Rhinolophus ferrumequinum: one gene and its partner. The protein of the gene in region 1 purifies or fractionates together with the protein of each later gene. This does not show direct contact. Links are inferred from orthologs where the notes say so. Each region holds a gene or a part of one and is shown on either strand. Other genes may lie near its edges.

Region 1 (10,954 bases):
AGCAGAGGAAGGTTAGAGCTGGAACCTGGGCAGGCAGGAGTTGTTCCACACACAGCGAGGGCTCCCTTCTGGGTGGGTATCCATTAGAGGACAAGGCTAAGTGGGCCAGGAAATGGGGCTGCGTGGGCCTCTCCCACGCCTGCTGGCCAGTGTCTCCGGCTGCCTGCCCAGGTCTGCATCTGCATATGCTGCTGCTGTCAGCTCGCCCTTAGCCTGTGGCTTCTGTCCTCCTGGCCCTGCCCTGGGAAGGGGCTGGCCCCACCCCATCACACACACACACACACACACACACACACACACACACGCAGACTGCCAAGCCTACCCTTCCATCTGTGCCCTCTCACTGCTGTGAGAAGCTGCTGTGTGTCCATCCTGAACAGCCCTTCATTGGCAGGTCACAGCACTTACAGCCAGAGGCCATTTTTTCTCAGCCCACCACCCTTTTCACCACCCCAAACTGCTTCCTGCCCGTGCTCCAGGGGGCTCTCCTTGGATGTCCCTGCCCTGCCTTTGCCTGGGCTGCGCCCCTCACCTGGAATACCCTCCCTTCTGTCCTTCTCCTTCAAGTCCCCAACTCCTCCAGTCCCTCTTGAGCACACCCATCGCTCCACACCAACCTCAAGCCCCAACTGGCCAGGTGACATCTCCTCTCCGGGCCTGTTTGCTGTGACTGTAAAATGGGGATGAACAGAGTCCCTTTGACAGTTACCTAAGAATTAAGTGAGATGTGGCACGGAAACAGGACTCCCCATGAGTGATGGCCATGACCGTGGCTCGGTTGGCTCTGAGCTACGTCTTCCTGATCCCCTCGGCAATGCCAAGCACTGCTCTGAGCACTGGGGTGCAGGGTGGAAGGAAAGACAGCCTGGGAGGGGCAGCCAATAGTCCTGAGTGTTGGGGGTGAAGTGGGAGGGGCCTGCAGAGAGGAGGCACTTCCCTAGGCGGTTACCTCTCTGCCCCTTGGCCAGGCACTGACCACAGAGCTGACCTCCCAGCAGGAGAGGGGGTGGCAGGAAAGAAGAGCTGGTTACCAGAAGCTGGTGTTGCAGTGTCATACCCCCTAACAAGATTATCTGTGTTTGCATGCAGGGGGGCTGGCTGTGGGGAACCTACCCTGTCCCTTCTGGCCTCCCCTCCCTCCAGCCTCTGTCATGACCAGCGTCTGTGTCCAGGCTTACCCAGCTCCCCTCCACCCTACTCCAGGCAGAAATCTCCCCCCTACTCCAAGTCAGCCAGCCTCGCTTGCTCCTCCTCAGCTTCTATTCCCCAAGACCAGGAATTCCAAAAAGGAAGCTCCAAGATCCCAGGGCTGAGAGGGTTAAATCCCAACATCTAAGCTCAAGAAATTCTTATACTTCTGAAGTGCTGGACAAGGGGGCAGGACCCCAGAATCCTGGTCCCGCAGGTTTGAAAGACTCCAGAATTCCAGCCCTTCACGTCCTGGGATTCTAGATTCCTTCACATTTCAGGTTGTAAGATGCAAAGATGCTGGGTTGGAGAAATTCCGGAATCCTCCCGGCAACTTCCCTCCCAGCATCCCTTCCCACCCTGCCACACCAACCCCCAGCTCATCCTTGGCTCTCTCTGTCCCCTGTCTCCCCCGGGGCTCCCACAGACATGATGCAACCAAGCCAGAGCCGGCTGAGAGGTGGGAGGCAGGAGGGAGATGTAATTACAGCTGCTCCTGTCTTAATTCAACGGGAAGCTCAGAGTTCGGGCCCAGGGGATCCTAATCCAAAGTGAATAATGGAGCACTTACCAAAACTGTACACAGCTGCCTAGAGGGAGGGGAGACTCAGTGAGCCAGTCTCCATCCAGATCTAGGGAGCAGGGGTGTTAACCTCCAGAGAAGAGGAGGTGGGGTTTGGGGTGGGGAGGGGGTCATGAACTCAGTGGCCCTTGGGCCAACCAGGTAAAATAATTAACCAAACCCACAGCTCACTTAGTCTGTATTTCCTCATTTTCAACAGTCATTTCAAGACATTTCACCTTTCTCTTCATTCCACTGTAAAAAGCCCCCAACACAGGCTCCATAATAAATAGCAACTGGCCCTCTGCCTCCTCAATTGAGAGACAACAGGGCAGGGTGGGGAATTTGACGAGCTGGAAAGCCCAGGTCCCATCTCATAGCCTCCGGTCACCCTGTGGAGTTGTGTAGATATGAGGTCACCAGACCTTCCAGTTCAGGGGAAGCTAGAAGTATGGACTCCTATGTGAACTACTGTTTTTCAGTTTGGCAACCAAATCAAGAACATTTTTAAATATTGTGTAGGCCAAAAGTAGAAAGCAAAAAAATTATATAACTGCAGGCTATATATGAGTATGTCCTGTGGGCTACCAATGTGTGAAATGGGAAACACGGGGCAGGAACCAGAGCTGTCAGTCACCCATGTGTCCCCAGATCAAAAAAAAAAAAATTGTTGAAGGAATATACACATTAATTTGTCTCCTCTCCCTCTAGCTACACTTCTCTCTTCTCTGGGTGCCAAGTTTTATTACCACCATATACCAGCTCAGATGTCTCCTCCTCCAGGAAGCCCTCCCTGACCCCCAAGCTGAGTCACAGGCTCCCTCTGAGCTTCCCCACCCCAGCCCTGCCCACTCAGAGTCATCGCTATCTGGGGACATGTGTGTCTCTTTCGCTGGATTCTGAGCCCCAAGAGGGCAGGGCCAGGGCTGTCTGGGTCACAGCCACGTCCCCAGCTTCAACCAGCACAGGGCAGGTACTCAGGGAGTGCTTGGAAGAATGAACAAATGAATGAATGAACAGAGTTCAGTGCTTAAGGAGAGGAGTAGGCCTGTGGCAGGGGGTAGCCAGATGTGAAAGAAAGGGGTGGATTCATTTAGGGATGAGAAAGGTGGGAAGAGCACACAGGGGCCCCAAAGAGTCTCCAACCCAAGAGGGAGGAAGGAGAGGAGAGAGCCCTGCTGAGGGGTCCAGGGAGCAGTGCAGGCAGAAGTCTTCAACCCATTACCTTCTATCTGTGTGACTTTGAGTAAGGGACTTCCTTTGGCTCCCTTTCCTCATCTGTAAAACGGGTATTATACAAGTAGCCAGATGCTTCTGGGGCTGTTGGGACGATTAACTAAATTCAGGATTGTGGAGCCCTCAGTGGGCTCCCATACACCTCTGCATCCACACACCCCACATAACCTTACCCCCGCCCCCACACACACTCAGAAGGGGTGAGAAGGGACACAGGTTCCTCCACGGTGAACCCATGCCCTGCGCGTGCCTCAGTTTCCCCGAAAGCACAGGCACCACCACAGTTACCACGTTTATTGGATTCATACTTTGGCAGGGGAGGGTAAGCTCTCAGGAAGGCTCAGAGCAGGATGCAAAAGAGGCGCTTGTCGCGGAAGGGATTCTCTGCGGCCGGTACCGGCGTCACCAGCGGGTCGTCTTTGGCATGCGTCTCGCAGAAGGCCAGTAGCTCCGCCGCCGCCTGCGATACCTGCGGGTGCCCGGGTGATGTTCACGCCCCGCCCCGCCCAAGGCCCTGCCCCTTGCCCGGACCCCTCCCCGGGTCCAGCCTTGTTCGGAGGGGATCTCACCCCGCCTCCGAGGCTCCGGGCCCCACTCCCAATAACTCCAGGTCAAAACCCAGCCCTGAGCTCCCGCCTTCCTCCCATCCCGACCAGGCACCTTCAAGCGGTCGATGTTCACTTCCAGCTTCAGCTGTTCCACAGTCTTGCGGGCCTCCGCGATCTTGGCCATGTTGTTGGACATGGCTGCGGCGGGGAAGGAGTTAAAGGCCAGGCGGGAGTGGGACAGGCTAGGGACAAGTCTGGGTCGCCAGGTAAGGGAGGCGGTGGTGTGGTGGCACCCAGCACCTGGGGTGTGCGTGGAAGAGGCTGGTGGAGCTATAGGAAACCAGGGAAAAGTGCAGGGATGGAGAGCTGCACAGACGGGGGACCTAGTGGCAGCGGGAGGGATGGACAGAGAGGGGTGAGGAAGGCAGGAGGGAAGCACAGATTCGATGCTGAGAGGCAGGTGGTGGGAGGGACAGAAGGACAGGGCCACAGGTGCTGGAGCAGGATCCAGGTGTCCTTAGCCCCCAGGGATAGGGCATGAGCCAGGAGGGGGGTCCTCCCCAGGCCAATTAGCGGTGGCTCCAGGGAGAATAAGGAATTAAGATCTCGGCGGGAGGGGCACAGAGGGGGCCTCATTAGGACTTTGGCAGCAGCTGCCCCCTCCGCCCCCCTCGGGGAGCTCCCCCACCCCAGCCCTGGCCACCTCAAAGGTTCCTCTGCTCATTAGCAGCCAGAGATAGGGCTGGGGGGGGAGGGGGCCCAATCCAGACATGACTAGGAGAGGGGCAGAGAGGATGAAAAGGGGGACAAATTTGAGGGGCAGAGGGAGAGACAAAGTGACAGAGGGAGAGACTGAGGCACAGGGGAGAGAAAGAGATTGAAGAGGGAGAGAAAGAGATGGAGACATGGGGGAGGGATGGAGGGAGTAGGCGGTGGACAAAAAGGTAAAGAAAGGGGCAGAGTGATATAGAGGGAGAGAGGTACAGAGGACAAAGGGATGGGGGTGGATGGAGAAGGGGAGATGGAGGAGTCCAGGAGGGATGAGGCGAAGGGGGTGGGAGAGGATAGAGATAGGGACACGTGTAGGGGTAGAGGAAGGGACAGGGATAGCAGAGGAGGGAGAGGAGCACAGGGGTATAAAGGGACAGAGGAGAGAAGGGACCAGGGATAGAGAGAGAGAGATGGAGCAACTGGAGGCGACAGGTTAACGGAGACACAGAAGTATAAAGTCATTCATTCACTCACTCACTCACTCATTCATTCCCAGGCAGACACGCTGACTGATGAGCACAGGGAGGAACTGTTGGGGCCAGGACCAGAGCTTCCTACCTGCTGTTGCCTAGGGCTGGGATGGCGGGCTGGTGGTGAAGGCTGGGAGACAGCTTCTGGGTCCCCCTGCCCAGCCCCGCCCCTCCCCTCCCCCTCCCCTGAGGTGCAGCCCCTGAGGACCCGCCTCCTGATGCTGCCACCGCCATCCCCACTCCCTTCGTCACCTTGGGTCTGTCTCTCTCTGAGTCCCATCTGTGTGTGTCTGTCCCCCTTCTGTCTCTGTTTCTGTGTCTCTCTCCCTATGTCTCTGTCGCTCCTATTCTCCGTGTCTCTTTCCTGTTCTCTATCTCCCAGTCTCCCCTCTTAATCTGTCTCCCTCTTACACACACTCACAGGAAAAAGACAGACTCTCAAGGTGTACCCTACACCCTGCTGCATTTACCCCACAGTTCCACAAATCTCTTCCGTGTGTCCACACAGCCTCTCACTCCACCACACACGCTCTCCCGCCGTGTCACAGCCGCCACCTCATTGTCATCCCCTCACAGACACCCCTTCTCAGCTCACACGCTCACACGCTCAGTTCCTCACACAGAGATACACAGTATCTCGCTTTGTCACACGGCGTGACCACACAGTCTCACGAACAACCTGTGCTCAACACACCATGTCCCACAGTGCCACAGTCACATGGCCTCCCAAAATGCCACACAGTCCGTGTGTCTCAGAGGGTGCCACATCACCCTCAATGACATTGCGCCCAACCAGTTAAATACACTACCTCAGATATGACAGTAAGTCACATATCCAGGGACTCCCACGTACAATCACACTCATGCTTACACAATCTCTGTCGCACACCACCTTACACATTCCCTGACACTCTGTCCCCACCCACACGCTGTCATGCACAGAATCTCTTGCTGAGCCTTACAGTCTGTATCATACACAGCTGTCACCCTCACACAGCAGATTCCCGCTGTCACACATTTACACACACAAGGTCTCGCTTGTACTTTCATCTCTGAGTGCTCTCAGAGTCTCACACTCACTCCCTGTCACAATGCTGTGCCAGTCTGTCATCTCCCACACGATCTGCGTCACACACAGTTCTCACAGTTCATCAGTGTGGCTGACACTGTCTCACACCCAGTCTCTCTGTCACACCCAGTCCCCCGGGGCCGCTCACACTGCCTTCTCACGCCATCTCTGGGTGGATCACATTCATTCAGCCTCACACATCATGTGCCCATGTGACTCACACAGAGCTCATGTCCTCACCGCGTTACACACTCTCGCACACAATCTCTCACTCTCGCATATGGTCTCTTGATGTCACAGTCCCCCAAATAGTGTCTCAGGCACACCAACTTCACGATGTCGCACAGTCACCTACATGTTACCTCTCTCATCTCACATATAGTCACACACAACCTGTAGGTATAACAAGATTTCACACAGTGACACTCTGTTACACAGCATCTCACGAGGTCACACAGCCACACACAACCTCTGGCATCACGCACAATTTCACAGTAGTACACACTCATACAATCTCTTTGTGTCACACACCATGGTTCGGTGTCACCCCCGGACACCCACAGCGTCTTTCCTGCACTCAGCACACACAACCTTCTGTCCTCTCCTGACAGTCCCCTGAAGGCCACACGAGGGCGCCCGCGGCCCACCGAACCGCCCACCCCACCGGAGCCAAAGCCGTAAAAGGAGGTGGAAATCAGGAGGGCAAGGAGCCCCTGCGGGCCCGCTGTGAGAGAGACACAGGAAAGTGGAGGGAGAGAACTGAAGATGAACCGGGACTCAGAGAGGGGGACAGAGATGCAGGGAGAGGCAGACGCAGAGAGACAGGGATATGGAGACAGAAATTTGGAGAGACAGACCTAGGGACTCAGAGACAGGGACAAGCAGAGAATTGCAGACAGAGACACAGAGACTTGGGAAGGTACAGGAAAGACACACAGACAGAAGTGTAGGGTCGGAGACAGGAACCGAGACATACAGACTCCCAAACAGGGACAGGCGGGCAGACATACAGACCGCGCCTTCCACAGGGGATAGTGGCGGAGGCGGGGCCTACAAAGGTGCGTCCAGGGGTGTGGCCTCGGGGTTTCTAAGGGGAGTGGTCCAGCGCAAGGTTTGGAGGGGCGTGTCGAGAATGTGGGCGTGGCCTGGGTGGGGCGTGTCCCGACCACCCCAGACTGCTGCGGGAGGGGCGGAGGCGGGAGCCCTGGGAAGAGGTGGAGGTGGGGAAAGGAGCGCCTCTACCGCAATGAGCCCATCTCAATTCGGTTTTTACGGCCTGGTCTGCGAAGCGAGACCGACGGGGAGGAGACACCAGCCCAGATCCGTGGTGTAGCGATTTGATAGGGAAGTGGCGGACCCTGGCTTTCCTCCTCCCCTACTTCGCCCGAGCTGCAGGGCCAGGTGGGGGAGGGGAACCAGGCTCACATCTGGAAAGCATCAGGCGCGCCGGACATGCCAGGGCCCCGGGCCCCGCTGCGGAAGCGGGGAGGGGAGCTAGGGCGCCCTAGTCTCCCCCTTAGCAGGGTCTGCCGGCGCCGGGGAGGGGCCTGGGCGTGCGCCCAGCCTCGGCGCCTCCCGCAGCTGGTTTCCATCATCAGTGCTGGCCCCGACAGCCCCCAGGAGGAAACCTAACTAACAGCGGGGGTGGACAAGGTGACGACCCAACCTCCCTTTCCCCTCCCCGACGGCGGCCAGAGGCTGACAGACTGACACTGCCTGAACCAAGTGTAACCTCCATTTCTCTCCCAAGCTGTAGACCTCAGCCCTTTTTCCACCCTACGCGTGACCTTAGTTTCCAGGTGTGCAGTCCTGCTCTGTGCTGCACAGGAAACGCCCTTGCCTCATGACAACCTAGTAGTCAGTGGTATTATTTGTCCCCATTTCTTGGGGGGTAGGGGGGAACCAAGACCCTGGATTCGGATTCAACTCTGGCTTTAATCATTCAAGAAACGTGCAATGGACGCCAACAGTAATTCTAGGGCCAAATACCCAGTCGCTTGCTGTATATTCCCACCTGGGTATCTGGTGAGATTCTCAAAATCAATGCATCCAAAACTAAGCTCTGGATTTCACACACCAAACCCACTCCTACAGCAGTCTTACCCATCTCAGTTGATAATAAATCTTTGGGGTCATTCTTGACACCCCTCGCTCTCTTGCACCCCACACATGATCTAGCAATAAGTCCCATTAACTCCATGTTCAAATTCTCGCCACAGTCCAATCACTTGTTACCTCCTCTGTTGTCCCCACTCTGGCCCAGCCACCAGTCCCTTCCACGTGGACTAGTACAGTCACTCCTCACTGGGCTCCCAGCCTCCACTTCTGTCTCTCTCAGCCTGGTGCCCACAGAGCAGCAAGAGTGACCCTGTTTGAACTGAAGTCCCCAGAAAATAGCAAGTGTTAGTGAGGAGATGTTGGAACCTTCAGACACTGCTGGTGGGAAGGTAAAATGGTGCAGCCACTTAGGAAAGCAATCTGGCTGTTCCTCAAAAGGTTAAACAGAGTTACCGCATAACCCAGAAATTCCACTCCTAAGTATCTACCTACAAGAAATGAAAACATCTGTCCACACAAAAACTTGGACAGGGATGTTCATAACAACATTATTCAGAATAGTCCCGAACTGGAAACAACCCAAATGTCCATCAACTGATGCATGGATAAACTAAATGTGGTCTATCCAGATAGTGGACTATCATGTGGTGATTGGAAGAAATGAAGTTCTGACACAAACCATATAACATGGATGAACTTTGAAAAAATATGCTACGTGAAAGAAGCCAGACACAAAAGACCAGATATTGCAGGATTCCATTTATAGGAAATGTCCAGAATCGGCAAATCTATAGACACAAAAGTAGATTAGTGGTTGCCAGGGGTTGGGGAAATTGGAAGACAACAGCTAAGGATGCAGTTTCTATCTGGGATGATGAAAATGTTCTGGGATTTACAGTGGTGATAGCTGCACAACTCTGTGACTATACTAAAAGCCATTGATAAGACATTGATGAAATAAATTGAAGAAGACACTAATAAATAAAAAGCTATTCCATGCTCGTGGATTGAAAGAATTAACGTTAAAATGTCCATACTACCCAAAGCCATTTCCAGATTCAAAGCAATCTCTATTAAAATTCCAATGGTATTTTCCACAGAAATAGAACAAAACATCCTAAAATTTGTATGGAACCACAAAAGATCCCGAATAGCGAAAGCAGTCTTGAGAAAAAAAAGAACAAAGCTGAGGGTATCACCCTAATTTCAAACTATATTACAAGGCTATAGTAATTAAAACTGTATGGTATTGGCATAAAAATAGAACAGAATAGGGAACCCAGAAATAAACCCACACATATGTGGTCAATTAATTTAAGACAGATGAGCCAAGAATATACAATGGGCAAAAGAAAGTCTCTACAATAAATTGTTTTGGGAAAATTGGACAGTCATATGTAAAAGAATGAAACTGGACCACTATCATACCGTACAGAAAAATTAACTCAAAATGGATTAAAGACCTGAAGCCATAAAACCCCTGGAAGAAAATATAGGTGGTAAGCTCCTTGCCAGCAGTCTTGGTGATTATTTTTTGGATTTGACACTAAAAGCAAAAATAAACAAGAAGGACTACATCAAACTAAAAAGCTCCTGCACAGCAAAGGAAACCATCAACAAAATGAAAAGACAATCTCCCAAATGGGAGAAAATATTTGCAAACCATATATCTCATAATGGATTAATATCAAAATATATAAAGAACTCGTACAATAGCAAAAACCCAATCTGATTTTAAAATGGGCAGAGGATCTGAATAGACATTTTTCCAAAGAATACATACAGATGACCAACAAGTACATGAAAAGATGTTCAACATCACTAATCAAGTAAATGCAAATCAAACTCATGAGGAGCTATCCCCTCACACTTGTCAGAATTGCTGTTACCAAAAAGACAAGAAACAAGTGTTGGTGAGGGTGTGGAGAAAAGGGAGCCCTGTGCACTATTGGTGGGAGTGTAAATTGGTGCAGCCACTGTGGGAAACAGTATGGAGGGTCCTCAAAAATTAAAAATAGAACTACCATATGACCCAACAATTCTGAAGAAAATAAAAACACTAACTTGAAAAGATATCTGCACCCCTATGGTCCTTGGAGTATTATTTACAATAGCCAAGACATGGAAGCAACCTAAGTGTCCATTGATGGGTGAATGGATAAAGAAAATATGACACACACACACACACACACACACACACACACACACACACACACACCATGGGATATTATTCAGCCATAAAAAGGAAGGAAACCTTGCCATTTGCAACATACCATTTGCAACAACAGGGATGGACCTTCAGGGCCTTCTGCTAAGTGAAATAAGTCAGACAGAGAGAGACAAATACTGTATGATCTCTTTCATATGTGGAATCTAAAAAAACAAAATTCTACCTCATAGATACAGACAACACATGGGTGGTTGCCAGAGGCAGGTGGTGGATGAGCAAAATGGGTGAAGGTGACCAAAAGGTACAAACTTCCAGTTATAAATTAAATGTCATAGAGATGTAAAGTACAGCATGGTGACTGTAGTTTATACTGTTACTCTACTGCAAATGTGAAAATTGCTAAGACAGTAGATCTTAAAAGTTCCTATAACAACAAAAAAATTTGTTTTAAGCCATTAAGCTCCATATTTTATATGGATGAATTTCATTGTATGTGAATTATATCTTAATAGAGAGAGCTGTTAACCTCATCCCCCCAAAAAAAAAAAAAAAAACAACTAAGTTCTTCTGCTCAGAATTCTCCGATGGCTCCCGATTCCCTCAGAGTAAAAACCAAAATGCTCACCATGGCCCACAAGGCCCCACATTATGTAGTGGCCCTTAGTATTCTCTGCCCTCACCTCTCCTCTCCCCCTCATGCGCTACTCCAGACACCCTGGAGTAATGTGTCTCCTAGCTATTTTGCCAACATGATAGGTACGATTTTGGCCTCAGGGCCTTTGCACAGGCTAACCCCTCTGCCTAGGATATTCTTTCCCAAGGTATCCACAAACGTCATCCCTCCTTCAGGTCTCTGTTCAATCAAATGTCACCATCTCAATT
Region 2 (12,962 bases), on another chromosome or scaffold:
AGCTGAATGCACTGGTTTCCTTATTCACGTTTCCTCTGGTTCTAATTTTAGGCTCTCCTAAACAGTCGAGAGGACTCATCACAGCTGATGTTGGATACCAAATATCTCTTTCAAGTCACGTTTCCTTTTACCGCCTCTCCCCATGCTCTGGAAATGATCGAGATCCCCAGCAGTTTCAAGCTAGGCTTTCTCAATAGATTATAGCAGAAGAAGAAAGAATACTTTTACCTCTAAAGCTAAATAAAGTTCAAGTATGGGGATGTGGTTTATTCATTGGGATTGGAAATGCTCTAGGATGTGATTTAAAGAAGAAAATAAGAATTCTCCTAGATGGGCCACATCTTCTGTCACTCACTGTGAGGGTGTGGCCGCTGTTGTTTTGTAAAACTTAACACACCCACGCTGTCGCCTTGGAATCTCAGTTGGCTTTTACTAGAATTCCTGGAAGGCTCATGTTTTCTTCCTGGTGCCTCTTGGTCTAGATCTATCTTGTACAGGGCACCACTCAGAGGGCATAAGATCCAGGGGGACACTGTCTCCCAAGTTTTCTAAGGTTCATGTGAAGTCCAGGAATATTTATGAAGCCACAGCGGGGTCCAGGGGCGAGTCTTCCAGGAAATAATTCCATTTGGCCATGATGGCCTACCAAAAGGCCTCTCAGCCCATGCCTCGGTTTACCGACTGAATTTACCGACTCTTTTTACTAAAAATGGTCCTGCAGAAAGAAGTATTTATTATCTCAGACCCCTCTGATTTTTAAGAGAATATTTAATTTGAAAAGAACCATATGAAGTATTTATGTATGTATATATATTTAAAACGAATATAATGTTAAAGCTTAATTGTTACATCTATCATCTGCTCTGAAAGAACATTTTTTTAAATCTTGTCTGCCAACATATTTGCCATCATTTTTCATTACTATTTTCCATACAATAACTTTTTAAAACACAAAGCTTAAAAAAGCAACCTAAATGATTTTCTCTATCTTATCAGCATTCAAATATGTTTTACATTTTTCTCAGAAAAGTACTTGAAGAATTGTATCAGGTTCCTCCTTTTGAGAAGTCACTGTTTCCCAAGTTTTATGGGAACTGACTATTCTTTGGCCTCCACACCCTCCACTCCTCCCTTTCAGAGCATAAAACATCATTTAATAAGCCTCCTTGCCTGTGGCCGGTGGGCCAAGCGCCCTTCTGCAGCACCGCATGAATCCCAACTGGCAATTCTGTTTCTGAAAGCCACAGGCAATCGGCGTGCTTCTGTAACACAGACGTTTATCTTAGCAGTGGAAATAATATATGATCACCCTAGTAGTATGTAATAATGTCTTTTCACATTATAAATGATTTAATTTAGTTCATTTAGATACACTGTATATGAAGAAATGAAAAGTAGACCTTGTAATAGTTTAATCAATAAAATGAATTCCCGTATGAATTGGGTCAGATTCTTTTAATTGCTAGGAGATTATATTTTTCTTAAGTGCACAAGTTTATGCCTTTCTCTATGGGTCATACTTACAGATGGAATCTTTATAGAGTCATTATATCTCTTAAAACGTATATAAGAATTTTTAGAGAGGAGTAAATATGCCCTAAGTCCTAGCTCAGGCGGTGTCTCCGTGGCTGCCAGAATGAGAGGATACTTTCAGAGAGTCGGCTGGGTTTCTGATCTGCACCACGGCCTTCTCCATGCTCCTTCCAGACTTCCCCTATGCCCTGAGGAGCCCATCACCCTTACTTTTCGGCTACCATAGCTCCAGGTTCTCGCCCTGGGTGAGCTTACCTGGCCAGCACTTACCCTGGGCTGTAAATCAGTCATGTTCCCCATTTCCCCCACTGGCCTGTGAGATTCTGGAGAGCAGGTCCACATCTCACTCATCCCTGCCTTCATCTCGATGGATGTTGGCCAGGTGGAGAGAAGTGCAGGAGCCCGGTACTATTGAGGGGGCAGGGTTTGGGAAGAGGAGGCGGGGGGGGGGGGGGGGGGAGTGGGGGGGGGTTGTTGGTCAGCATTGGGAAGGAGTGGATCTTGTTTGGGGACAAGACAAGGGGACCTGCAGAAGCTAAGAAACGTATGCATGGAGAAGGGGTAGTGGGGGTTCTCTCTACATGGGGTAGTGGGGGTTACAGTGTTGATCAGTGCTACAAAGCTGAAGGTGGGCACGGTGGCCAACATTAAAGAGGTGCGGGTGAATTGAGGACAGTGAGAAGGTGGGAGGTGCCAATAACCTCCAGTCACAGGTGAACAGAACATCAGGATTGCTCGGTGGAGCAGGGTGTGGATTCACAGGCAAACCTCTGAACTCTGCCTCCCACTGAGGGCAGAGAATTGAGCTCAAGAAACTGGCCCACAGGGGTTCTGAGGGCACCTGGCAGCACAGATGGGCAGAAGGTTCAAGGGGTAAGTGACGCAAAGCGCAGTGAGTGCCCCAGCAGTGAACACGGAGCTGCAGGGTGGCAGGGATGAAGCAGCCGCGCTGTAATGCCCAGATAAGGAGATTAGACAGGATGCAATCAGTCCCTTTCCCACCGTCACCTTCCAACTGCAGCTCTAACTTCTCGCCTTTCTGCTGATCAGTTCCAAGTGTTGAGTCTGTGGAAGGTATGGATGTGTTAACATTAAATTAATACTCAGGCTTTCTGAAATGCCCAGGTAAGTGTTCAGATGTGTACATACCAAGGAAGAAGCTGTTTTGTTTTTAAAATATGTTTAGTATTGGCATTAGGGAATAAGTTAAGCATCTTGAAATCATTTAATCAGTTTTAAAAATTGATCCAGGTAACACTTTACATGTCAACATAAGCCTCCAAGTGCAGTTTACTGACTTGAAAGAGGTTTTTGACGTAAATATTATATAGTCATAATAAGTTTGGGAGATAAAGCCACACTGTCATGTGTATCAGTGGTTTATTCTTTTTTATTGCACGAACATATCACAATGTATCTAGTCTACTGTTGGTAAACATTTGGGTTTTTCCAGTTTAGAGCTATTATGAATAAAGCTGCTATGACATTCGTTTTTTGTTTTGTTTTTGTTTTTTGTTTGTTTGTTTTTTACCAATTTATACCCCTCCAGCAAGGAACGAGGTCCAGTTCTTCACATCCTCGCCCACACTTCAGATTGTTAGTCTTTTCCATTTTAGGTATACTGGTGGGTAAGTAGTGATACCACAGTGTGATTTTAATTTGCTTTTCTTTGATGACTAATGATGTTGAGCACCTTTTTATGTTTATTGACTACAAGAATATCTGTATTTGTGAAGTGTCTCAATAAGTCTTTTACCCATTTAAAAATAATTTTTATTGAGATATAATACACATAAAACTCACCATTTTAAAGCTTACATTTCAGTGGTTTTTAGTATATTCACAAGGATGTGAATTATCTAATTCCAGAGCATTTCCATAACCCCAAAAAAGAAACCCCATACCCATTAAGCAGTGTTCCCAACCCCACACCCCATTTCCCCCTGCCCTCCCCCTCCCAACCTCTAATCTACTCTCTGTCTCTGTGGATTTGCCTATCCTGGACATTTCATATAAATGGAAACATAACTTGTAGCCTTTTGTGTCTAGCTTATTTCACTTAACATAATGTTTTCAGGGTTCATCCATATTGTAACATATACATATACATATGTTGTAACAACATTGTAACAAGAACTTCATTCTTTTTTTATTGCCAAATAACATTCTACTGTATGGATGTAACACGTTTTATTTATCTGTTCATCAGTTGATGGACATTTAAATTGTTTCCACTTTTTGGCTTAAATACTGCTACAAACATTTGTGTATAAGTTTTATCTTGGGTATATGCCTAGATAAACCCAAGTGGATTTGCTGGGTCATATGGTAACAACTCTGTTTACTGCCAAACTGTTTTCCACAGCTGCTGCACCGTTTTACATTCCCACCAGCAAAGTTCTTTTGCTCATTTTTAATTGGGTTAATGAAGCATTATTTTAAAAGTAAAAACTGGAGATACTCTATATATCTAAAAATAGGAGATTTGTTTAATAAATTATGATACTCCATAGTATAGAATAATACTAAAGTTATGACCAAAAGAAAAAAAAACAGCTCTATAAGTGCTAACAGAATAAGGTAGGAGAAAAAAACAAGTCGCTAACAGCCCCAATTATATAATTAACAAAGCTGTATCTATGGTGTCAGAAAATATGGAAGAATATGAACCAAACTAAATAAGGAGAGTAGATGCGGAACAGGTAACGGGGACTTTTCCCTTTTGACTTTCTATATTTGGCATTGACTCTTTTAAAAATAAATATGGGGTGGTGGGTTTTTTGGTAATTTTTAACCATATATTTAGGTGAAACATTTCAAATAAATTTTGTGTTTGGTGCAGGGTAAGCAGAAGGTTTGAGAAGTTCTACAAACTTCTGCAGAGCAGCTTTGTGTAAAAACTTATTAAACTGAGGCATTTTTATCTTTTTCTTGTCAAAATGCTTATTGAAGTATTTGCTCTGTAAAAAGTTCCCTCGTCATAAAGAGGATTATTGACAATAAGTACAATAGAATGGTCTAAAATGAAATTTTGCTCATGATATAAATATTAAATGGAAAATATCTGGATGAAAAGATATAAGAGTATACATGAACAGTGTAACTGCAATGGTCCTAAAAATCTTGCATGTGCCAAAATGTGAAAAGGAGTCTCTGTGGGCAGGGATCATAGGTGATTCTTTTCTTCCTTATACCTTTTTCATTTTTCCAGACTATTTACCATGACCATAACATTTATGGTTGTAAAATGCTATAATCTTTCAAATTTGGTTTGTAGCTTGCCCATGTGTAACCAACCAGATCTAAAATGTGATATGATTCAAGGTTGATATGACTCAAAACTTGTGGTCTCCATTAAAAAATGGTGTTTTCCAAGAATATGCAATGACATGTGAAGAAGAAAACACTGTTAAGCAAAATACTAAAGTTCAAAATTGTATATGGCATATAATTCCAATTTTTTAAAAAACATATACATATATGCCTATAAAGATGTGAGAAGAAGACACAAAATGCTAACAGAGGTCAATTATTTGTTAGTATAGGGCATGTGGGTGATTAATTTTCCTTCTTTGTGTCTTTCTGTTTCTAATCATTTATAATGAAAACATGTACAGCTCTTATAATTTGAAAAAAAATTTTAATTCAGTCTGGGAATGAAAACATTGTCTCTATCCAGATTTGGAATATTAGCAATTTTTTCAGCTTCTCTTTCTCTTGATCTCCTACAACTCCCAGCCATCCTTCTGTTCCTTCCCCACTGGTTCCCTCAGTTCCTCTCGCCTTCTATTCCTGCAGCTGCTACTCTGTCCAGAGCTCATTTCCTCTTCCACACAATGTGATAATAATCTCTTAACCTAGCTGATTTTCCTGCTGTACAGTCTGTCTCTGACCTACTTCTAGAAGCACAAATGCTGGAATAATCCACTTAAATGACGTGGCTCCCTTGCTAAAAAACCCATGGCTCACTTTCCTAATGCGATTACTTGGAGTCTTCAGCACAACCTTGTGACTGGCTGCCTGGGCAGGCTCGGGCAGTGGGAGGCAACATTACTGGACCTCTACCACGGGCCAGGCTCTAGTGGACCAGCTCTTTTGTGTTCTTGAACTCAGTTGTGACAAAACAGAGCAGCTTGGTGGTGCTGGCTCCACAGTAGGGGTTGTGGAGTCCCACTGCATACAGAGTCAGGCTCCACCGCTGACCTTGAACTCATTGAATCCCTTGGACAGCATTTCCTTAGCTGTCACACAGATGTCCTGCCTCCCTCTCAGGGTGGTTGTGAGAGGTCAGAGCTGATCGCTTCTGCTCTCTCACCTACAAGGGACTGTCCTCTATTCCTTTGTTACCTAGCGTTCTCAAGAACTATGCCAGCTGCCCCTTCGCTGGAGGAGTTCACCCAATTCATGATCTTCACATTCTCCCTGCAGCCCCACTGTGACCTCAGCATGACAGATATTCCCCTCAGCGGAATACCTGCCTTACAAATACATCCTGCCTTACAAATACATCCTTGAAAATGTGGCTCTGTTGAAATATACAAATCAGTGCCCCCAAATATCTTTATACTCAGGAAGTCATTTCTTTAAACCTTGACGTGGCCCACTCTTTGAAACACCTATTCAATTGGCACGTCTACGATGGCCACTCCCTTCCACCTTCACCTCCTCGTCTTCCATCTCCAGCAATGGCACCTGACCCCTCAGCCTCCCGAACAGAAACCTAGGAGATACCATAGACATCTCCCTCTCGTCTCCACATGTCTCCGAGTCCAGCTCCTTCTCCTTCCTAAGTGTGGTCCACATCCATCCCACACCAATGCTTAGTTCAGGCCTTCCTTGCTTCTTGCCTGGAAGAAGTAGCCATAGGCTCCTCTCTGCTCTTTCCGCGTCTCCCGCTCCACCCCTCCCCTCCTTCCTGCTGCAGCTGCTACTGCTGCTGCTGCTATTACAGCCACTCACAGGGCAGCATAACATCTCTGGAGCACTCACTATATTCCGGCCTTGAGCCAAGTGCTTCATGCACTGTCTCTTAGAATTCCCCTGACAATCCTATGAAATAGATTTTTAAGATCCTCACTTGATAGATTAGCAAACGAAGATTCAGAGAGTTTGAGTAACTTGCCTAAACAGTGCGGCCAGGATCTGGCCAGCCAGAGACAGCATCCTCAGCCACAAGATGGTTTTGCTTTCTCCAGGTTACCCTTCCTTCAGTGGCCTGGGCCTGTCAACTTCCGGGTGTTAGGCAGGGACCCTGGGTCTGTGGCTGTCAAATGTTTACCAAGTAAGTGGGATGCTGCATTCCGGGCAGGGAACCAACACATTTACTCAGCCTCATGGCTTTGGTTGGGGTCAGGTTCCACCATTTTCTGACTCTTGTCTTTACTCCAAAATTTCACCCTGATGAGAGGAGTTTTTTGTTTTTTAATTATACTGTTCATTACAAAGATGCTTTCTGTTTTGAAGCCCCACAGGTTAACACTGTGCTGCAAAAATCCAGGTGTCCTTGTCTGCAAGCTGCCAAAACAACTGGTTAACTGTAAGTTCAGAAAACCTATTGTCTGACGCTTTCTTGCTGATTAAATAAATGAGTTGGTGTTGACCCAGCATGTTGTAATAAATCAAAGTTTACAAATTAACTGCATATACTTTATCCTACATGTAGAGGTCTGAGCAACTACCATGATAACAGGAAGACGAACTTTAAAAAAGCTGTTTCTGTTGGTTTTTCTCACACACTTACATCCCTTTTTTCTCTCTCTTTTCCAGCTTCATCTTGGGTAAAAGATGTGTGATCAGACGTTTCTAGTTAATGTATTTGGCTCCTGTGACAAATGTTTCAAGCAAAGGGCTCTGAGACCAGTTTTCAAGAAATCTCAACAGCTCAGCTACTGTTCAATATGTGCAGAAATTGTAAGTGCCACTTTTTAAAAATTCAAGTGGTTGCCTGTCTTAAAATGATGTCTCATGTGAGGGTCCAGTGACGGATAAGTTGTTATAGAAGCAGTTTACACACACAAACGTTTTCAGCGCAGCTGGACTAGGTGAGGCAGTATAGCATGGGTGGGGGGTTAGGGTGTGAACTCTGATCTCTGACTTCCTGGGTTCAAATCCTAGTTCTATTCCCCCGTGTGCCAAGCGGGGGGCGCCGAGGGGGCGCTGTGCCCGCAGGCGACGCCCGCGGGGAGGTGGGGTCGGCCCAGCAGCCGGGCTCGCAGCCACCCGCGTCAGCGCCGGAGGGCGGGGCCGCGCGCGGAGGAGACCGGCTGGAGCTGCGCCTGTGGCCGCCCGGCCTCCTCCCGCAGCTCACCCGCATCCCGGCTCTCGGCTTCCTTCCCTGCCGCGTCCCCGCGCGAAGATGGCCACGGACGGGCTGCATGAGAACGAGACGTTGGCGTCGCTGAAGAGCGAGGCCGAGAGCCTCAAGGGCAAACTGGAGGAGGAGCGGGCCAAACTGCACGACGTGGAGCGTGAGTGCGGGCCGGGGCGGGGGCTGCGCGCGGGGAGGCGGGCCGAGGAGACGAGACCGGGCTCCCGGGATCTGGGCTGCGGGCGGCCTGGGCCCGGGGCGGGATGCGGGCCTCGGGTGTCCCGGCTCCAGGTGAGGCGCTGGGAGTAGCCCGAGCACCCAGGCGCGCCCGTGTGGGGCAGGAGCTGGGCGGCCCTCGCAGGCTCCCGGCACCTTACAGAGCCGCCTCTGGGCCGGGGCACCTGATGGTAGCAGCCCCTGGACGCTGGCCTCCCAAGGAAGGATCGGGGACCAGTTACGGTCATCACCTGCCTGCAAGATGCAAACTGATCGAATTCTTGCCATTCCCAGGCGGAGCCGGTGGAGGGGGGTGTCAGTGGTGGCAAGCACAGCGAGCCCTTGTGGGCGCGGCCTAGGGTAAACTGTCTTGTTTTTTCATTATTTGGCTTTCTCCATCACTGTTGTGTCTTTTCTCAGTTTTGCTTTTACATGGAACCAGACACTGATTTTAGAGCTCGTTATTCCAATCTGCCCACTCTCCTTGGAGGTGGAGAGCCGGAGGGGGGAAGCAGAGGAGCTTACCACATCCAACCATTTAGTTCACTTAAGGTTGTTTGAAAAGCTTTTGGATGGATGCCGTATGGTTAGCATCAGAGACTAATAGCAGTCTTACACAAACGTCATTATTGACCACGACCATAATTCAGAACAGGCTCTCTGATACTTTTTTTTTTTATGAGTGAGCCATTAAATAGCCAGGTGAAATGACTCTTGGCAGGATCAGCTCCCCTGTTCTGTGTCCAGTGGTTCATCCTCAGCAGAGATTGGGCTGGGGCCAAGCTTGGGGAAGTGGTCTTATCTGCTTACGTTTCAGCTCTAAGGGTGGCAGCTCCCCTTTGCTGAGCAAGGCCTCCCGTTGGTGCCCTCAGACACACCTTTTCATGGTGCTCCTGCCGTTCCTATTTGGTACCACCCCCCCTTTAAATTCTATTTGGAAAAGAAAAATGGGGTTCATGCTAGGTCCTTTAGTACCTGATTCCTTTCTTTGAAAATCACTTGATAGAAGCAGGTGACCTGATTCTAAAGTATGCTGTGCTTTCGAAGGGGCCTCTTTTAAATAGGAAGCACACTAAGCCCCTATGTCATTTAGAAACATGTCCAGCTACAAAAAACCATAAACCCCTAATAAAATAGTTAAGCAAATTGGGAGTTATTTTTCGTACATAACAAGAACAAGGGTAGGCGTCACCGCTTTGGTTCAGCTGCCTTCAGGGACCCACACTTCTGTCTGTCTTCTCCACCACCCTGAGAGCAGTGGCATTTGCCCCACAATTATCATATCACTGCCACAGCTCTAAACATCACCCCTCTATCCAGGGCAGAAAGAAGGTGGAATGTGGGTACCAACCTCTGTTTCTCCCTTTTATCAGGAAAGCAGTTTCCCCCTAAACCTCATTTCTCCCCAACAGGTTTTTGCTTACACTTCATTGACCAGAACTAGGTCACGTGGCTACTGCAAGGGGAGGCTGGAAAAGGGAGGACTGAGCTGAGCATATTGTCATCCCCAAGCAGAGCTGGGTTTCTGTTATCAGGGGAGAAGCAAGGAATGGAGATTGGGAGGCATAGGACAGAGTCTTCCCCATTTCCCTTTGCAAATTCCTACACTCTGCAGATGGTAACGATGATGCAATGAGTGTGCTTTTAGTGCCTCTGGGGTAGGTCTGATTTCTCCATTTTACAGATGAGGAAACTGAGGCACAGAGGTCACAGGGCTTTCGGAAAGACCCCAGATAATAAGTGGTGGGATCAGGATTCCAGCGCAAGCAGTCAGTACTCCAACCCAACCTCACTTCAGCTTCATGCCTGGTCCAGAGGGGCTCTCCAGAGGGACACTCAGTAGTGCCCACTGGGATACTTTTCAGCCTTTTCTGTGCATTTGCATTCTGTGCATTTGCAAATTGCTTTAAGGCAGAGAAATAGTCAAGATGCAGTTTTTTCAACAAGGAGTCCCTGTCCTGCCAAGAATGCAGTGCCCTCAAAGGTCACGGCCAACTTTGGACTCACAGTAAGAGGATCTATCCTCACCTGCGTATGAGTCAGAATTTTTGAGTTGAAAAGACCAGAAGTCATGTGGTCATGTTCCCGTCTATGCCCCCTGAAGCTTCCAGACCACTCGCTACTCCTACATAAAACCCTGGCTCTTCTGAGGCTCCTGTCATTTGGCTGCCATCCCTCTTCTCCTCCCCCACGAGCTGTCTTCTGACCTCCCAGCCAGGCCCCCTCATTTCTTAAGGACGTTAGCACATGGCTTGAGCCTTCCTTTTGACCCTAAGCCCTGGTGTCTTCAGGGTTCACAGGGGTGACCCTCCAAACACACTGGCCCCTCACTCTGTGACAGCCCCCTAGGATCTTGTTAGCACTCAGAACTGCTCCTCGTCTGACCACAGTCTCTCCCTTTGGAGATCTCCGTGATCTAGCATCATTTGGCTCTTCTCTCTTCCAATCTCTCAGCTTCTTTCTATACATGTTCACATTTTGGTGGTGTTATATAGGTGGCTCTGTGACCCCTACCCCAGTTGGGGAAACCTCTTTAGATCATAAGCTTAAAGTGACCAAGTTATCCCAGTTTGCCTGGGACTCAGTAGTAAAGCAGATATTCCTGCATCCTGGAAAACACTTCAGTTCTGGGCAAACCGGGAAAGTTGGTCAGCCTTCTGTTAGCTCTGACTTGCCCAAATTCTTGGCTTAAAAAATAATCAACACGGGGCCAGCCCGGTGGCTCAGGCGGTTGGAGCTCCGTGCTCCTAACTCCAAAGCCTGCTGGTTCGATTCCCACATGGGCCAGTGGGCTCTCAACCACAAGGTTGCCGGTTCAACTCCTTGAATCCCGCAAGGGATGGTGGGCAGCGCCCCTGCAACTAACAACTGCATCTGGACCTGGAGCTGAGCTGCGCCATCTACAACTACGATTGAAAGAACAACAACATTGACTTGGAAAAAGGCCTGGAAGTACACACTGTTCCCCAATAAAGTCCTGTTCCCCTTCCCCAATAAAAAATCTTTAAAAAAAAAAAATCAACACAACAAAATTGTACAACATGAACTTGGAGGAAAAGTGAACTTTCCCCAATTCCAGACCCTCGTTTCTTCACCTTCCATCCCTTTGACCCTCAGACAGCAGCCATTCTGTGGGGCCCTCATGCCCAAGTCAGACCCTCCTCAGCCAATATTACATACAGGAAGTGGCTTATGTGGGCAGCCTAAAGGGAAGCCAGCCTCCATCAAACTCCACAGCCCTAGGACCCATGTCCCCGTCTCTGCCTTTCCCTTATTCCTGCAGAGCTTCCTGCCCTGGATGTTTCTCCTTATCCCTTCAGCTTGCCTTCTGCCATTTGTAAGTGCTTCCTTGCTTGAGTCTAAGGCATTTTGGAATCATGAGGTTAAATTTTGTATTAGTTTCCTATTGCTGTTGTACACATTTCCACAAACATAGTGGGTTAAAGTAACCTAAATTTGTTCGGTTACAGTTCTGGGGGTCAGAAGTCTAAAATGGGCCGCCAGGCTGCATTCCTCCTGGGGCGCTAGGGGAGAATCCATTCCTTGTCTTTTCAGCTTCTAAAGACCATCTGCATTCCTTGGCTTGTGGCCCCACATCACTCCAACCTGGTTTCTGTCATCGTATCTCCTTCTTTGACCCCGACCCCCCCTTTTTTTTAATTTATTGGGGTGACAATTGTTAGTAAAGTTACATAGATTTCAGGTGTACAGGTCTGTAATACATCATCTATAAATCACATTGTGTGTTCACCACCCAGAGTCAGTTCTCCTTCACCATATATTTGATCCCCCTTACCCTCATGTCCCACCCCCCGCCCCCTTTACCCTCTGGTAACCACTAAACTATTGTCTGTGTCTATGAGTTTTTGTTTCTCATTTGTTCGTCTTGTTCTTTTGTTGTTTTTGGTTTATATACCACATATCAGTGAAATCATATGGTTCTCTGCTTTTTCTGTCTGACTTATTTTGCTTAGCATTATACTCTCAAGATCCATCCATGTTGTCACAAATATTCCTGTATCATCTTTTCTTAACGCCGAATAGTATTCCATTGTGTATATATACCACAACTTCTTTATCCATTCATCTATCAAAGGACATTTTGGTTGTTTCCATGTCTTGGCCCCCGTAAACAAAGCTGCAATGAACATTGGAGCACACGTGTCTTTATGTGTAGATGTTTTCAGATTTTTTGGGTAGATACCCAGGAGAGGGATTGCTGGGTCATATGGTAATTCTATTCGTAATTTTTTGAGGAACCTCCACACTTCCATAACGGCTGCACCAGTCTGCATTCCCACCAATAGTGTATGAGGGTTCCGTTTTCTCCACAGCCTCCCAACACTTGTTACTATTTGTCTTGTTGATGATAAGCATTCTAACTGGGGTGAGGTGATATTTCATTGTGGTTTTTATTTGCATTTCTCTGATGATTAGTGATGTTGAGCATTTTTTCATATGTCTGTTTGCCATTCTTAAGTCCTCTTTGGAGAAATGTCTCTTCAGGTCCTCTGCCCATTTTTCAATTGGGTTGTTTGTTTTTTTGTTGTTGAGTTTCATGAGTTCCTTGTATATTTTGGATATTAGCCCTTTACCCGATCCCCCCTTTTATAAGGATCCTGTGATTCCATTGGGCTCACCTGTAGAATCCAAAATAATTTTTCCATACCAAGATCCTTAATCACATCTGCAAGCTCCCTTTTACCCCATAAGGTCACATATTCACAGGTTCCAGGGATTAGGATGTGAACATCTTTGGAGGGCCTGTCACACAACCCTTTAAACTAGAGGGGTCACCTGCTTCATCCTCAGTCTTCAGGCACAAAAAGTTTTCTTCTCCTCCCAATAACCCCACCCCCTGTCCTTATGGATGAGAAAGCAGCTGAGGTCTAGGGAAGGTTGAGGA

The links.
Region 2: the proteins of GNG8 (region 1) and GNB5 purify together in Homo sapiens (co-immunoprecipitation; 3 studies listed by BioGRID and IntAct, with this or other methods). This does not show direct contact. The link is inferred for Rhinolophus ferrumequinum from reciprocal best matches to the Homo sapiens genes GNG8 and GNB5.

What each region holds. Positions count from the first base shown.
Region 1 is NC_046298.1:42,778,422-42,789,375, forward strand, and holds GNG8 (guanine nucleotide-binding protein G(I)/G(S)/G(O) subunit gamma-8), read right to left. Parts: upstream 4,042-10,954; 5' UTR 3,731-4,041; coding exon 3,647-3,730; intron 3,456-3,646; coding exon 3,327-3,455; 3' UTR 3,281-3,326; downstream 1-3,280. UniProt on the Homo sapiens protein: Guanine nucleotide-binding proteins (G proteins) are involved as a modulator or transducer in various transmembrane signaling systems.
Region 2 is NC_046289.1:55,792,258-55,805,219, forward strand, and holds the start of GNB5 (guanine nucleotide-binding protein subunit beta-5), read left to right. Parts: upstream 1-7,752; 5' UTR 7,753-7,888; coding exon 7,889-8,000; intron 8,001-12,962. Other genes in the region: MYO5C (unconventional myosin-Vc), read left to right, coding at 52-204. UniProt on the Homo sapiens protein: Enhances GTPase-activating protein (GAP) activity of regulator of G protein signaling (RGS) proteins, such as RGS7 and RGS9, hence involved in the termination of the signaling initiated by the G protein coupled receptors (GPCRs) by accelerating the GTP hydrolysis on the G-alpha subunits, thereby promoting their inactivation.